Drosophila melanogaster: one gene and its partner. The protein of the gene in region 1 purifies or fractionates together with the protein of each later gene. This does not show direct contact. Each region holds a gene or a part of one and is shown on either strand. Other genes may lie near its edges.

Region 1 (7,604 bases):
TAATAGCTTCTTTATACAAGATCCAGATAGTAAACACGTTTAGTTGACTTTAAACTACAGCTGATCTTTTCTAACTCGCTTTAAAGGAGACTACATGGAATGCATATTTATTTTATTAGTGATCTATGTTGAAACGAACATGTTTAAACATTTTCTGGTTTCAAATGCAATTAATTGGCTAATTTAGGTTCTAGACATGCGCGAATCGCATGCTATATTGAGTTGATCCCCCATGTGACGTCAGTGCCAGTGTTTCAAAGTTGGCATTTAATAATTTCAAGGTTAAAGTTCCATTATGGATCCCAGGCACATGCAGCCAATGAGCTCGAATTGAACATTTCGAAATACTTGTTTTTGCTTTCGTAGTAAAATTGAAATTCGTCCGATTCCGATCGAGAGTGTTGGGCCAACCGAAGGCGAACAGAAAAACATGTGAATAAATTATTTGAAAAATATATAAATATGAATAAATGAGGCGATCGCGGAGAGGCGTCAACCTTAGTCCCCATGTGTCTAGGGAAAGGTCCGGTCTAGTTCCCCACTTCAGCACGACTTCGCAGCGATGCCAAGAACACCTTATCAACATTTTCGATTTTTCGTATATTTAATAACGTACACTTATGTGATTTTAATACCGACAAAGGTTAAGCGATTTATGTCTATGTACGAGTGCGCATGTCGCCTGTATTCGGCGTTCTATGCAGCATTCAAAATCGAATTCGATTCTGGTTCTGGTTTTGGTTTTGGAAGCGAAGCACTTGTGTGTGTCGCCCACTATGTACACCAATTGATCAACGATCGTTAAAATGTTCCCAAAATGTCCAAACAGATCGTTGGTGCCGCCTATTCAAATGACGATAAAAATGCCATAAAAATACCGCCCGAGCCTCCCAAGATCCCACTCGAAAATCGTTTTACGACTCGTCCTGGTTCAAATGTAACAATTTTTTAATCAGCCATTGGAACGGAGCTCAAGTGCATTGTTTTTATGTATTTTGGCGCGACGTCTCGGGAATTTGCATGGGCCAAATGCAGACGGACTCCTGGGGAAAGTCTTTCCCCATCATTTTTCTCACGTTCACTTGTCGCGCCACGAGATTTGTCCTGAAATTCTACACGCGTCTCGGTTGGATTTTAATGTTCTCGTCCTCGCGATAGGCATGAATGTGTCTGGATCTGGATCCTGGAGCCCCAGTCCTATGCGCATGGTAATTTGAAAATTTTGAGAAATTTCATATTGGGTCTCTCAGAAGGCGTTCTGATTTATGCGTAAATTTCACGATTGAATTGAAGAACTAACCGTGAAGAGTATTGAGACGAAAGTAATGGGCTAAAGTGAAGGGAGTTTTTTTTAATTCTGGTATGCTATTATATTTGAAGTTTAATGAAATTATTGGGTTTGCCCAAAACGCAATCAGAACATTTAGCCTTACATATTGAGTACCTTTTATAAATGTATCTTATTTTAATTACTGTTTTAACGTTTTTGATTTTCTTAAAACTATATAAACATATATTTTCTTTGTTTATTTTTATATTCATGTTCATATTCATATACAAAATTTTTAATCTATGCTGTTAATAATTCGAATCCGTACAAATTAGACCGTTGGTATTATGCATATATGTTAATGATTCTGTTTTTGAAAATGTTTACTATATTTTTAATTAAACTTCATTGTTGCTTTATACTTCTACATTTCAAATATTCATTTAAATAGAAATTTTCAGTAAGAAATGTTACATTTTTCAAATTCCTTTAAACTTAGCTTACATTTTAAACGTTTCTTAATATACATGGATTGTTTTTTCATTTAATTTCCAGATTTTGTGTGTACTTTTTTGCGGTCGCTGGTAGTCGACAGTCAACCAACCACAATAACAGCGACCACAACAACACCAATCGAGCAACAGTAGAGGCCGCCCCAGCTACAACAACAACACGTTCCGGCATGGCCTCTACCTCGGCCTGCCCCCACCCACCCCTTCTTCAACTTTCCGCGCCTGTTGTTGCTGCTGATGTAGTGAGAGGCGGAGCAACGCAGCACAAAGCGGAGGCAGTAAGTGCGATAAGGCAGGCATTAGGCGCAAGCACAAGCGAATAGTAAGCGAAGGAAGAGAGGAGCCAAAGAGAGGGATCCACAAAAAGAGAAAGAGTGAGTAGGCGAGTGCGGGAGCGTGGAGCTCGCATCGAATATTTCGAAATATTTAAAGCTGTACACGAGACGAAAATATTCATGTTTTCGAAATGAATTTGATCCTTGTTGAAATCTTGAAAATCTAAAAACTATGTCATAAATTTAGTCATATGTGTATTTAATGTATATTTAATGTGTATATATAATTTATGAAATAAAAGATCTAATTTCCTATTCCGTTTATTAGTCATATTATATTTTTATATTTTATTATATATTTCAATGTATTATTATTATATATTTTATCTTAAGTTTGCTTTATCCAAAGAAATAAATGAATAGATTTACTACATGTTTACTACATTTACTATATGTATTTATTTATTTCTTTAGATAAACCAAACTTAACTTAATAAATAGTGATCTTAGGACAAGGATAGAAATTAAGATGATCGTCATTTTTATTTCTGTGCACCAACATGCGATTACGATTACGAGTGGCGCTCGTGTAACGGCATGTAGAGCAAAGTGCTAAGCAAACGCAACTGTAATCAATGGACAGAGATGGCGAGAGGGAGAGAGGATGCTCGATGAGATTTGTTCTCGATTTGGTTTTCTAAAAAAAACATTTTTAACGAGCTTTATTTTTTCGTGTTGCTTTGCTGTTCCGTATTTCGAAGTTCGAACCGCAAGCCGCTCAAATCAAATCAGTTTCTGTGAAAATCGCGCCGGATACGGACACGTACGTGGATTGCGGCGGAGAATCCGGATAATCGTGTGGAGCGCCGGAATCATGACGAAAACGACAAAGCCCAAGGAGAAGGCAGCGGCGGGAGGGGCGGTTATAGGGTCGGGATCGGGATTGGGTTCGGTGACCAAGGCGGGCGGCGGTAGTCTGCTTTCGAATGCGGCGGACAGTAAGATCCGCACGGCCAAGTCCAACAACAACAAGCGGCAGGCAGGACGAGCGGCGACAGCATTAGCAGCTACAACAACAGCATCAGCCTTAGCGGCAACAACAACAGCGGGAGCAACAGGATCAAATGCAGCAGCGAATGAGACGGAAATAGCGATCGAAACGGAGAACGGAGAAGCAGCGACGCCGACTGCGGCAGCAACGGCCGCCGCAGCGAATTTATCGTCACTTGAGTCCGCTCGCTCGCAGGCTCTCACTTCAGTTGTCAGCGAAACAGCAAGGCAAGCGGTTACCACAGCAAACGCGTCGGCAACATCAACATCAACAGTTACAGCAGCAACAGAAATAGCAACCGCAACAGCAAGCGACACAGCAGCAACATCTGAAGCAGCGATCGATGACGATCCAAGTGCGATAAATACTAACAATAATAATAATAATAGTAAAGCGCAGAACGACGCGAGTGAAAGTGTTAAAACAAAAGTGATAAGCTACCATCAGTCTGAGGATCAACAGCAACAGCAGCAGCAACAAGCCCAGATCTACGAGCAACAGCAACAGTTTCTCAGCCAGCAATTAATAAGCCACCATCAGCAGGAACAGCATCAGCAGGCGCAGCAGCAACAGCATCAGCAGGTGGTGCAGGAGCAACACCAGGCCAGTTGGCTGGCCTATGACCTGACCAGCGGATCAGCGGCAGCAGCAGCGGCGGCAGCGGCAGCAGCATCGCATCCCCACCTCTTCGGGCAGTTCTCCTATCCGCCCAGCCATCATACGCCTACCCAGCTCTACGAGCACTACCCCAGCACGGATCCCATAATGCGGAACAACTTTGCGTTCTACAGCGTCTACACCGGAGGCGGTGGCGGAGTGGGCGTGGGCATGACTAGCCACGAGCATTTGGCAGCGGCGGCGGCAGCGGCAGCAGCAGTGGCCCAGGGCACCACACCCAACATAGACGAGGTCATCCAGGACACGCTGAAGGACGAGTGCTTCGAGGATGGCCACAGCACCGATTACCATGTGCTGACCTCCGTGTCCGATATGCATACGCTAAAGGACTCCAGTCCCTATGCCCTCACCCACGAGCAACTCCACCAGCAGCAGCACCATCACCAGCAGCAACTGCATCACCATCAGCAGCAGCAGCAACAACTTTACCACCAGCAACAGCAGCAGCAGCAGCAGCAACAACATCATCACCACCACAACAACTCCACCAGTTCGGCGGGCGGGGACTCCCCGTCGTCCTCGCACGCACTGTCCACCCTGCAGAGCTTCACCCAGCTGACCAGCGCCACCCAGCGTGATAGCCTCTCGCCGGAGAATGACGCCTACTTTGCGGCCGCCCAGCTCGGCAGCAGCTTGCAGAACAGGTGAGTCTTGCCGCGGAGCACTGTAATGAGCTCACTATCACGAAGCGGGCGAGCGCACGTGCCTTTCGACCGCTTGGCGACACCGTTAAAAGTCATGATCGGAGCTCCGATCAGCGATCAGCGATCACCTAACAGAGAACCGCGCCGGCTGATTCATATTTCTCCCGCCTTGGCGCGATTTGCTCGGGCGGAGTGACGAACCGAACAGAAGCGCCCATTGTGGGTATTGGTTCCAAAGCTCGGACTTCGGTCTCCTCTTTTCCACCGTCTCTCGCAATCCCAAATCCATACCCAAATACAGTCGGTTATGGTTATGGCGTTATGGCATTCCCAGGTGGTTTACTCAATATGCGGAATGCGAAAATCTGTTCCACTTTCATCTAGCCACCAAGTTAGTTCTGCTCCAAGAATGTGTTTCCAGCGGGACAACAAAAACATAAACAAAACACAGTTGTGAAGCCTCCGCAGATGTCTCATATGAGGAGCATTCCACGCATGACGCCCTGCGTGGGAGCAAAGTCAGTGGGGCAGGACTTTTGGTTTAGAAAAGTAGCTTAACGTATAGAAAATTTTTCGACAAAATATTCGTCCTGCCGATCTTAGGAAATTTTATTTAATATTCAAGAATGTTACTTTTACCTTCAGAGATGCTACTTAAAGTTTATTTATATAAAGTTCAGGGATTGATTATTATTTTAACATACTCCATTTAACATAAATCTTGTCATCTTTCCGATTATTTAGGAATATTGTTCGGCTTCTATTAGGAAAACTAACCTTGTCCACGATCAAAGTAAACAATGTGAGACAACAAATAAAGAGGCTTTGCACTTGGCATTTTATAGCGTCGCCTCTGTGAAATCATCTGCAAACTCGAACTCAGCAGAATATACACAAATTGCCGCTCGAATTTCGTAAACAAGAATATGCAATGTCTTAATTATTGACGCATGGCTTGTCTGACTCATGAGTTTTCCCCTTTGGATCCTAGTCCGGGCAGCACCGACTTCCCCACCAGATGCAGGAAATCTAAATGGTTCACTTAGTTTCTTTGTTAGTTTTTCCGACCAGCATGCGTGAGCTAGTGTTGCACGTGTCCAGGTTGCTGCCACATTTGGCCTAAAACCAGCACGTGCCACAGACTGTGGCAAGCTAGCTCCTAAAAGCCAAACAAAAAAGGGGGCGCGACCCGCATTTGATTGAACAGTCGAAACTCGCGGCGACTCTTCAGAGCCAAAACCAAAAAAAAAAAAAACAGTAAAGGCAAATTGCCATTGTAGCGCATTTTTCTAGCTTGTTTTGGGTGCTCGGGTTGCAAGCTCTATTGCTTTCGGTGAGAGGATACCTTTCGAGTGTGTGACTGTTTGGGAGCCGGGGTAACCCAAAGCCATCCCGTGACATAGAAACCCCCGAACGAAACCCAAACTGGAGCCCACAGAAACAGAAACAGCCTCAAATGCTTCGTAAGTGTCTATTTTTTTTTTGTGTTCAGGGCTGCCTCTGCTGACTCAGCAACCCCCAAGTTGCAGTGCACCATGAAGGGTTAAGGAGAGTGGCAAGCGGAGCAGCAGCGTTACGTTAGGTACGGCGGGAAATTATAAATACATCGGTGGGAGGCAGCGGACCCAACGCACCCGCACATTGCCGATCGCGTTTTACTCGACTATTTTCTGGTAATTCGCATCTATACTTTTAGCTTTTTTCGTTTGTTTTCCCTATGTTATTATTTAAATTGAAAACGTGTTTTGCATATGCATATGGAAACAGGCATGAATGCACATTCAGTTGAAGTATATATGAAGTCATGTGAGGAACAGACCAAAATGTTAGATTTTTAGAAGTCAAACATGTTAGAAACGCAATTGGGTGAAATTAGAGTTATGGAAAAGTATCTTTCGTATGACGGAAATATACACTTGTACATATATGTGGTAACATAACGTCATCTGGTGCCGGATGGTGATGGTGACGCTGATGTGGCCAGCACTTCGTATGTGACTTTTTGGCCAGTTTCGCTTTTGTGGCAGTGAGAAACCAGAAGAAGATATCACGCTGCTGGCCAGCTCACATGCCATTTTTGCCATGCATACACACTCATAAGTATGTGAAAAACAAGAAGTCGACGCAAAATACTCACCTGCGACAAACAACAGAAGTGAACCGCGCAGCGGCGATAAAGTTATATCGTTGTCGTGCACTTTTTCTTGTCACTCAGACTTCCTATATATGCAGCTATATATTATAGCTTGGCTGTAGCTGTGGGGCATCTCGGGCTGGAAATACGGTTACCGCTGTTATCAGAGAGCGTGCGCATCTAGCTGCAAGACTTGGTCGTATAAATTCTGGCAACAAAGAGTCAATTATTTGCAAGCCGTTTGTTTGATAATTGAATACATTCATACGCAGATATGCGATTTTTTTCGGTTAACTTTATTCTTTAGTCACTTGATCACATTGTGTGTGTGTGTGTGTGTGTGTGAGTAGTGACTTGGATTACTTTGGGCCAACACTCACGGCAACAACAATAGCAATCACAGTTGCAGCAGCAGCAGCAGCCGCAGCAGCAGCGACAACTGCAACTGCAACTGCATTGGCATAAAACTAAACCCGACTCAAGTCATTATGCAAACGCGCGTGCCCCGATTCGGTTGTGCTTTCTTCTCGGTCGCGGTCTCCGTCTCCATCTCCATCTCCACCTCCATCTCGTCATCCAGAGAACTCGGCCCGAAATAAAACTGAAAACTAAAACACAAATAAATCAAAACGAAAATGAAAACGCCAATGCTGAGCTGAACACTTTCGCGAGTTTCCTTCCATTGCTGCCGTTTGAAAATAAATAGATAGTTGTATTCTTCAACAAAAAGCAAATACTGATTGTGCCGATCAGTTCGATTGAATTTCTAAGAAGGATCCTTCTCTGTCCAGCGCGTAATAAGTGTGCACCTGTGAAAACGAAAGCTCCAAAACTTCGATCCTTGATCCCTAGTCTCTTTGAGATCGTTGGACTTACGAAAGTTTTGCTTACGCAGCAATTAGTTGTTATTGTTTATGGAATGTCTTTCCGGGTCTTGGCAAAAATATTTGCACAGGCTACTGTTGGCTAAGGCTAACAAACAAACGTCTACGTACGTTTTTATTTTGCGGGGGTAAACAACTCTGCAAACACTTTTATTC
Region 2 (8,753 bases), on another chromosome or scaffold:
CGACGTTTTTAGAGCTGGTACAAGAATCGATGTTTAACTGAAACTATCGATAAGCCAACAGCTTAGTACTGATTTGGGGTGACCAGATTCAATGCAATTTTGAATCAATGACGATTGACAATCGATAGCACTTTAAGCAAATACAAGAGTAGGTACAAAGTTAGGCAAATTAAAACCATAAACATATATTAAACTGCATATGAAAAAGTAAAACCATATCCATTAATCAATTTTAGATGAATAATTTAAAGACTTTGGCGGTGAGACAGATTTTTGGACATTGCCAAACCGAACCACACCGTTTATTGCCTTTATAAATCAGTATTCTTTTAAAAAACCTCATTATTAAGAAGTGCAATGGATCTAACACACGCATCGCAATTTTTAAAAACAAAAAATAAATACATATTCCTTAATGTTGTCGAAATCAGTTGTAAAGTAAACTTCCACATACCTGTCATCTAGCTAGATTCGACAGCACTGCCGCATTAATCGAAACCGATAGGAGCTCTCATCAAGTAGCAACCCTATAGAGACGCCGGGACTTGGTGTAAAGAAAAAACGAAAAAGATTTGTCTTTTTAAGCGCCGCAAAGAATCCGGAAAAACGTGAATATACCACCGAAAACGGATCTCCGGTAAGTTGAAAATGACTGGGATTAGGTTGTGCGTACAATGGAATAACTGAAAATGCCCACAATGTGACCCGCAGGCTGAAACCCCTACGTGTAGCGCAGGAAAACGAGGAACACCACGAACCAAGATGTCGGACATCTCCAGCGAGGACCTGCGTCGTGAAATTCAGGCGGTTCTGAAGGACGCCGATTTGGCGACCATTTCGGCAAAGAGGGTGCGCGAGCAGGTGGAGGGAAAGCTGAACTGCTCGTTGCTGAGCCGCAAGAAGGAGTTCGACAAGATCGTGATGGAGGTGATCAACGAGCAGCAGGACGAGGAGGACGAAGACGATGACGAGGGCAAGGATCCCGATGCCGATCCCGACGATGAGAGCGAGCCCAGCGAGGAGGAGGACCCCAGCAGCAGCGAGGAGGAGGCCGCCAAGAAGAAGAAGCAGAGCCCCAAGAAGAGGCCACAGCCCACGAAGCACAAGGCGCCCAAGAAGAAGCGCAAGACCCTAAATGCCGACGATTCCGGCACCGAGAGCGATGCCGGCTCGGACTCGGACTACGAGGTGGTCAAGAAGCCGGCGGCCAAGAAGAAGGCCAAGGCGGCCGGGGGAACAGGATCGGGACGTAAGAGCACCGGCTTCACACGCGCATACAATCTATCACCGGAACTGAGCGCCCTCATGGGAGAGTCCTCCCTGCCGCGCCACGAAGTCGTGAAGAAGGTGTGGGCCATCATCAAGGAGCGCGATTTGTACGACCCCAAGAACAAGCAGTTCGCCATTTGCGACGACGAGCTGATGAAGGTGATGAAGATCCGCCGCTTCCGCACCTTTGGCATGCTGAAGCATCTCAAGCCGCACTTTCTCGATTAGATCAGATCCGCCCTCCGATCCTCTCCAGATGCAAATATATGTGTATGCCTCTCCGCCAGCCTGGTTTACCAATCCCCTGTAACTTTCGGCTCCGCCTGGATTTGTTTGTTCCACAACCTTTGATTAAGATTTAGTTGACGCATGTGTTTAGCATTACCCTAATTAGGACGGGTTTGCACATTATGCACTTTACGGCATTTTAGGAATAGTTCAGATGAACGGAAAATTACAAAAAAAAAATCGATTATAATACATAATGTGTATGATTTTTTTTATGACAAACTCGTGTAGTTTACATTTTATAAAATATCAAAGAAAAACATAACAAGTTTAAGGCAAGTACCGAGTAATAAAAAGAGAAATAGACGAGTGATGCATCTGAAAAATACGAAAGCAACTTTTCCTGGTTTTCATTTCGACGGGGCTGCTGGGGGAGAAATCAATCAGTGGAACAGATCTAATTGCTCAATAAAGAATCCCTTTTTTATTGTTTTGCGTTTCTCACAAATTTCTTACAAACATTTTTCACTTTTTCTAATATACATATTAGGTGTATATGCAGTGTATATATATATATAATTCTCGATCTGATATATATGCCAGCGTGTATATAATTGAATAAATGGAATACCTTGCACTGCTGTTCCATTAACGCTCTCGGGACGAAACGAAAGTACAAAAGTATAATCATAATCATAAGCGGGGGCCATAAACATTAACAAATTAAGTACGTAAACAATACGAGAGGTTAAATCGATCACTTATTGCCCAGCTGTCGTAGCTCAAAAAAGGGATTAGTCAGGAAAGTCGTTAACATTAAAATGTACATGGATTTCACGCGAAAAAGTTATAGAAATGTAATGCAAATATGCTAGAAACCATTATACAAGTCAATTCCCATTAAATATATTATCAATTCCGAATTAGAAGTATACATTTAGAGAACTAATCGCGTCTTTTGAGCTACTGCAGTCTGATTGACAGGCGTTCGAAGTATTTAAAATAAATTCAAGTAACTGGCTACAAAAAATGTTGATGGGGATAAATTCTTGGGGCAAGATTAGTTTTGGGGATTAGAGAGTCATGTTGGATAGGTGAACGGAGAGAATACTCCTGCGGCTAAAGCGAGTGCTAAATACTATGTCGAAGACTTTAAATGCTAACGAAAAGCAACCAAGAATTCCGCTCGAGCTAAACTAAGCAATACAATGGTAATAGTAACTTTGTGTTCTCCTTTCCGTATCCTTTTGTGTTTTCCGTGTGTGTGTGTGTCAACAATTGTTTTAAATAGTTTTACTTCTTCGCAAAGACAATACTTTCGTTGGCGTTGTTGTTTCTTCTAATTGCTGGTGTTATTGTCCGCATCCGCCCGCCTTGCGTCCTAGTAGCGGTAGTAGTTGGGCTTGAAAGGACCGGCCTTGTTCAGTCCCATGTACTTGGCCTGCTCGTCGCTCAGCTCCGTCAAATGGGCATCGAAGGTGGGCAGGTGCAGGCTGGCAACATACTCGTCCATCTTCTTGGGCAGCAAGTAGACATCCGACTTGTAGCGTCCGGGCGGGGCATTGAAAAGCTCGATCAGGGCCAGGGCCTGGGTGGCCGAGGTGATAGACACGGCGAACGAGGGGATGCTGGAGCAGCTCAGATTGACCAGCCTGCCCTCGGCCAGAAGAATGATGTACTTGCCCTCCGGCCAGATAATGTGATCCACCTGGGAGCGCACCTTCTCCCAGGTCAAGTCCGGTGTGCGCAGGCCATTCACATCGATTTCCGTGTTCGAGTGGCCCATGTTGCATACGATGCAGCCACTCTTCATCTTGTCCATGTGCTCGCGCACCACCACGTTCTTGTTGCCGGTCGCCGTCACCACAATGTCTACGTTGCGGATCACCTCGTTCAGCTTGACCACACGGAAGCCATCCATACTGGCCTGCAGGGCGCAAATGGGATCGATCTCTGTGATGTACACAATGCAGCCCTACGATTGGAGATTGAAAAGGTGACAAAGGTATATCATACTAATGGTTGTGGGTGCCATTTACCTGCCCCTTTAGAGCCTGAGCACATCCCTTGCCCACATCGCCGTAGCCACAGACCACGACCTGCTTGCCACCGAACATCACGTCCGTGGAGCGCTTGAGGCTGTCCAGGATGGATTCCTTGCAGCTGTAGAGGTTGTCAAATTTGGTCTTTGTCACCGAATCGTTGACATTCATCGCCGGCACTGTCAGCTTGCCGGCCTTAGAGAGCTGATAGAGACGGTGCACTCCGGTGACGCTCTCCTCGACGATTCCCTTGACCAACTTGAACATGGTCGGGTACTTTTTTAGCATCAAGTGCGTGGCATCGCCGCCATCGTCCAGGATCATGTTTGGCTGCCAGTTCTCGGCGTTAACGCAGCGATCTATGCACCACCAGAAGTCCTCTTCCGTCTCGCCGCGCCAGGCAAAGATCGGGATTCCGGATTCGGCCAAAGCAGCAGCCACTTCGTTCTAAAAATAATAAGCAACGATATTGAGTTGTTTTAATAATGACAGTCCTTGAAGGCTAATAAAATGATTGTCAAACAGGTAAAACCCTCGAGAGTTGGCCTGATAAATCGAGTCACCCTAATGCGGCGTAAACATTTGCTAATATCTGACTTATATCGAGCTGATAACGCATCGGGCTCCATTCTCGCTAAGCACGGCACTCGTAGCTTGGCTGATAAGTCCCAGCCGATACAGGTGAATCAGCGTGACAGGCTGTCGGGGGCCGTGGGCGATAAAAGCTGGCACGGATGGGTGCATAAATGATCGGGGAAGGGCGCTCGCCCTCGCACTCGCATCGCTTCATTAGAGAAGCCATAAATTGTTTAGCGTCAGCAGACTCGTGATAATTGCATCAGCCACGCCGCAGGAATAGGCAAACAGATCGAGTAACCGCAGCCGATCCAATGCTGGAACTAAAACTGCGTCCGTAACTTCCACTCCCAATGGTATGGCGACCCAATTCAGGGCACATCAATTACTCAGCGATTGCCAAACACTTGAGCCGCGGGCGCTTAATTGATTAACATGGCTTGATTGATCATTTGTTTGCGTCGCCTGGCGTGACAACAATTGTCTCCAAGCGACCGAGCAGATCAAGTGACCGAGCACGCATATGCATATGAATTTAAATAAATATAGGAAAATGAGTTAAGATATCTCTTAAGAGATTCCATTAAATGCATTAAGCAGCCTATGAATACGTAAGAACCCTATGACATTTTCATACGACATCTCACCTGCGTGGAGTAGATGTTGCAGGCGGCCCAGCGCACGCTGGCGCCCAGTTCCACCAGCGTCTCGATGAGCACGGCAGTCTGGGCGTTGATGTGTGTGCAACCCACGATCTTGGCATCCTTCAGAGGCTTGTCCTCGGCCGCCCGCTTCTTCAGCGCTATGATGCCCGGCATCTCCTGCTCCGCAATCTCGATCTCCCTGCGCCCAAATGCATGCTGGGCGCCTATGTTCCTTACACAGAAATCGGAGCTGCCTTTGGAGTTCTTTTGGACCTTCTCCCTGGGCGGCACGTCGTCGCCATCCTCGCTGCTGCCCGTGTAGCTGGCGGAGCTGAAGGAATCCGTTGAGGAGGCACTAAGCGAGCGGCTCCTGTACCGACTTGTCTTCTTCAGAGCCGAGGACTGCTTGGTGGCCGGCGGAGGAACCACCACGCTGGCATCCTGCGGCGCCGGTCCAGCCTGCTGCTGCTTGTCGCCGCCTCCGAATCCAGGATCAACTACCACAGTGTCTGCCAGGTTGTTCATGGTGGAAGTAGAGGGTAATCTGGGGATTTCCTTACTATCCCTTAAATTGGCTCCTTGCTCTAGCTCCTAGTGTTCCACCTTCTGCGACTCCAGAGCTTGCAATCCTTTTCCGCTGCTCCTTTGAATGGGCGCCTTGGATGTTATGTAAAGTCTGAAATCCAAGCAGGATGCGCTGCAAATGGCTAGTGGTGTGGCCTGGGTCTATACGAACTGCACAATCACGTGATTTATCGACGTTGTGGAGACCACAAATTGCTAAATTAATTGTTTTTAGTGCGAGTCTCCTTTGTTTCACCTCTCCACTATTGTTTTTGTTCTTCTTCTTCTTTTGCGAATGGGGGGCTACACTTTGGATCCGGGGCTTGATGGGAGTTTCCGGAGAGGGGATGATGATGCAGCCGTCGGCTTTCGGGCGACGTTGTTTGTGTGGCGACCAAGTGGGGGATCGTTTGGCGATCGCTTATTGAATTTGATTTTATCCGGAGAAAAGAGAACTAAACCGAACCGAGGACAGTAAGCGAGACACGCGAAAATACCAAAAGCAGAAGGCGTTAGTGCTATTCTGCAAGTGTGGTAAGTTCCCACTGAAGAAAGGCCAAAGTAACGACTTTTTAACTGAAATCGTCTAAAAATTAATTTTTATAATTTCTTACCATTAATTATGTGTTTATTTTTTAATGAGCAAAGTAAATAAAGTGTGATTTACAACTCCTCAGCTGCAAGTCTTTTAAATCTGGTAGCTGGATAATTTAATGAGTCAAAAAGAAATTGGCAAAGTATTCGAGGTTTATTAAAAACAAATAGTTAACACATTTGGCCTACATATCCTCCTGTAGGTAGCCGCACAGCTCGTAGTCGTCCGCCGTGTTGACCAAGTGCGCTTCCCTAAGAAGGCCCTCCTTGTAGGTCTGTCTCTTGACAATCAAACGCGACAATTCCTCCGGTGCAAGTGGTCCTTGCTTGGCGTGTTTCTGGATGAAGTCCGCCGCCAGTTGTCGATCCACGACGGACATCTCGAGGCTGCGACTCCAGGCGAGCAGGGCCAGCGGTCGCTGCGGACTCAGAGCCAGCGAGGGTGACACCAGATGGCGATACAGACAGCCACCCACGATGTCTTGCAGCTGCTTCACTTGGCCGGGAAAAGCGCAGGGATGGTAGAGCATTACGATGGCACCTTCCGCCAGATTACGCACGTATCGCTGAGGAGGCAAGTAGGAATAGGTGCCATATTCAGCGGGCATCGGGCGATAGGGGCCACTGATAATACAGATTTGAATTTGAAATTAGCAGGAAACTATAATATTGTTCGCCTTACTTGGTGGCAGGCAGATGGGAGTAGCTAATGGACTCATTAAGGCACTTGGCAGGCGGCAGATAGGCGCTAGGTAGAAAGTGCTCCGTAAGAATGGCTTCTCTGGACAAATCCGGTTGGTACAAGCTGTGATTACTACTGATGCATAGGAAATTCAGGCTGTCACGGATGTCGTTTGGATCGAAGTCCACGGCAAGATTGCTCTGAAAATTGTTAATAACAATGATAGAAAAAGATGACTAATACTAAGCATTCATCGGTATTTAGGGGAAGTATTAGTTATATTGCCAAACTCACCTTGCCATCATCACAGCTGCTTTGTTTAGTCTTGTGCGATTCATTGGGACCCTGCGGAAACAATTTACCCTGCCAAGTATCCTGTGTGGTGGACTTCCCCGACTTGGTTTTGTTATCGACCAGCGGTTTTTTCTTCACCAAGTGCGGCTCTCCGGGAGCTTGTGGAAACCACTTGCCCTGCCAGCCATCCTTGGTTGTGAACTCCAGCGGAGGAACTTCCTCCGTGGTGCTCTTCATTTTTAATTCAATCGCTTCCTGCTGTTGTCCAGGGGCATGGGGAAACCACTTGCCCTGCCAGCCATTCTTGCCGGGCGTCGCACCTAATGGAACCTGCACACGTTGCACATCATTGGAAATGTCGGGTGGGGACTTCCCAATCTTCCCTAGCTTCTCATCAGGATCAAGAGTTGGCTCCAACAGATTGGCCTGCGACTTCTTGATGGATTTCGCATCGATGAGGGCGAACCCAAGGCACAAGAGGGTCAAGTAATGCCAAATAAACATAATAATTGCAAGCAAAAGAAAAACAAAAGCGCAAAATAAGCAAACAAAAATATAATTAAGAACTTGGCAAAACAGCTGTGGAGCTGCGTTTTTCAACACTGGTCAAAGCATGACTTTGTTGCAGGGTAGCAACAGGTTGTTTGGAGTTTGCATAAATCTCCGATGATAATTATGTGTTGTTTTAATAACTAAATTAAAATTATTTACGCCAAATTAAAGTAAATAAAGTTAATTTAAAATGACTACTTAAATCAAGCAGATTTAAAAGGAAATCAATGTATATTTGAAATATTCAGACTGGATTCTAAGGTTAAATGACAAATTACTCACCAGAAATCGGCTCATAATAATAAATCATTTTATTTTCAAATGCCCCCTGCGAACGCTCCCCCGCATTGCACACACCAGGGGGTATTTTACGAAGTGCCCACACCTGGCCACACTGGTCGCAGCTACAAAAAGAAGAAGAACAAGGGCCAACTTGATGGTCACTTGCTACTGCGCTTTATTAATTCATTATTTTCCAAAATAATGCACATATATACCCGCCCACAGCCGCTCTGCGCCCCCGCTAATCGAAAAATGTGAGTGGTAAGCGTTTTTACCAGAGTCTTATCAACAATTTAAGCCTCAATTCCCTTCCGTTTCCGTGATTCGCCACCCAGAAAACAATAACAAAGGGGTGTTGTTGTTGCTGTCGCTGCTGCTGCGCTGGAAAAACAACTCGCATAAAATTTTAAAACGCACAAAGAAGGCGAACGTGGAAAGTTAGGCCAACAACCCAGTCGCGATGTCGTGGTTCAATCCCTGGGATGGCCTCAAAACGAAAATGTGTCGCTACCTGCTGCAGCGATACCTGGGCCAGTTTTTCGAGAATAACTTGAACCTGGAGCAGCTGAAGGTGGACCTTTACAATGGCAAGGCTGTGGTGGAGGACATTTTCCTAAAGGTCAACGCCTTCAACGATCTCTTCGAGGACCAGGGCTGGGCCTTCGAGGTGGTCTCGGGCCACATTGGCCGCCTGACTGTCGTGGTGCCGTGGAATGCGCTGATGACCAACGACAGTAGCCTGGAGATCCACAATCTAACCATCACACTGAGGCCAGTCACACGCTACCAGAGCGGCACCACCATGCTGGAGTCCATGTGGTCGTCGGTGAGCAGCTCGATGCAAATGGCCGAGGAGTGCATGAAGCAGGTGGATGACGATGTGCCCTTCCTGAACCACAATAACGCCCTGATTGGGTTGGAGAAGTTCGCAGAGACCATCGACAACGTGCTCAACCGCATACGCGCCAAGCTGACAAATACTACTTTGAACATTGAGTACATACTGCCCAGATCGGACCGGAAGCT

What was found. The genes of interacting proteins can lie anywhere in the genome.
Region 2: the proteins of srp (region 1) and AhcyL1 purify together in Drosophila melanogaster (affinity purification with mass spectrometry, with the first as the bait; one large-scale study listed by BioGRID). This does not show direct contact.

Annotation. Positions count from the first base shown.
Region 1 is NT_033777.3:15,991,295-15,998,898, forward strand, and holds the start of srp (serpent), read left to right. Parts: upstream 1-2,845; 5' UTR 2,846-2,931; coding exon 2,932-4,430; intron 4,431-7,604. UniProt on the Drosophila melanogaster protein: May function as a transcriptional activator protein and may play a key role in the organogenesis of the fat body. Binds a sequence element (5'-[TA]GATAA-3') found in the larval promoters of all known alcohol dehydrogenase (ADH) genes.
Region 2 is NT_037436.4:2,766,506-2,775,258, forward strand, and holds AhcyL1 (adenosylhomocysteinase like 1), read right to left. Parts: upstream 5,821-8,753; 5' UTR 5,285-5,820; coding exon 4,763-5,284; intron 3,987-4,762; coding exon 3,537-3,986; intron 3,473-3,536; coding exon 2,879-3,472; 3' UTR 1,961-2,878; downstream 1-1,960. Other genes in the region: Non2 (putative nucleolar protein 2), read left to right, coding at 763-1,497; CG12093 (uncharacterized protein), read right to left, coding at 6,103-6,541, 6,600-6,799, 6,894-7,397; Atg2 (Autophagy-related 2), read left to right, coding at 8,188-8,753. UniProt on the Drosophila melanogaster protein: Might play a role in the regulation of methionine metabolism possibly by binding and inactivating Ahcy.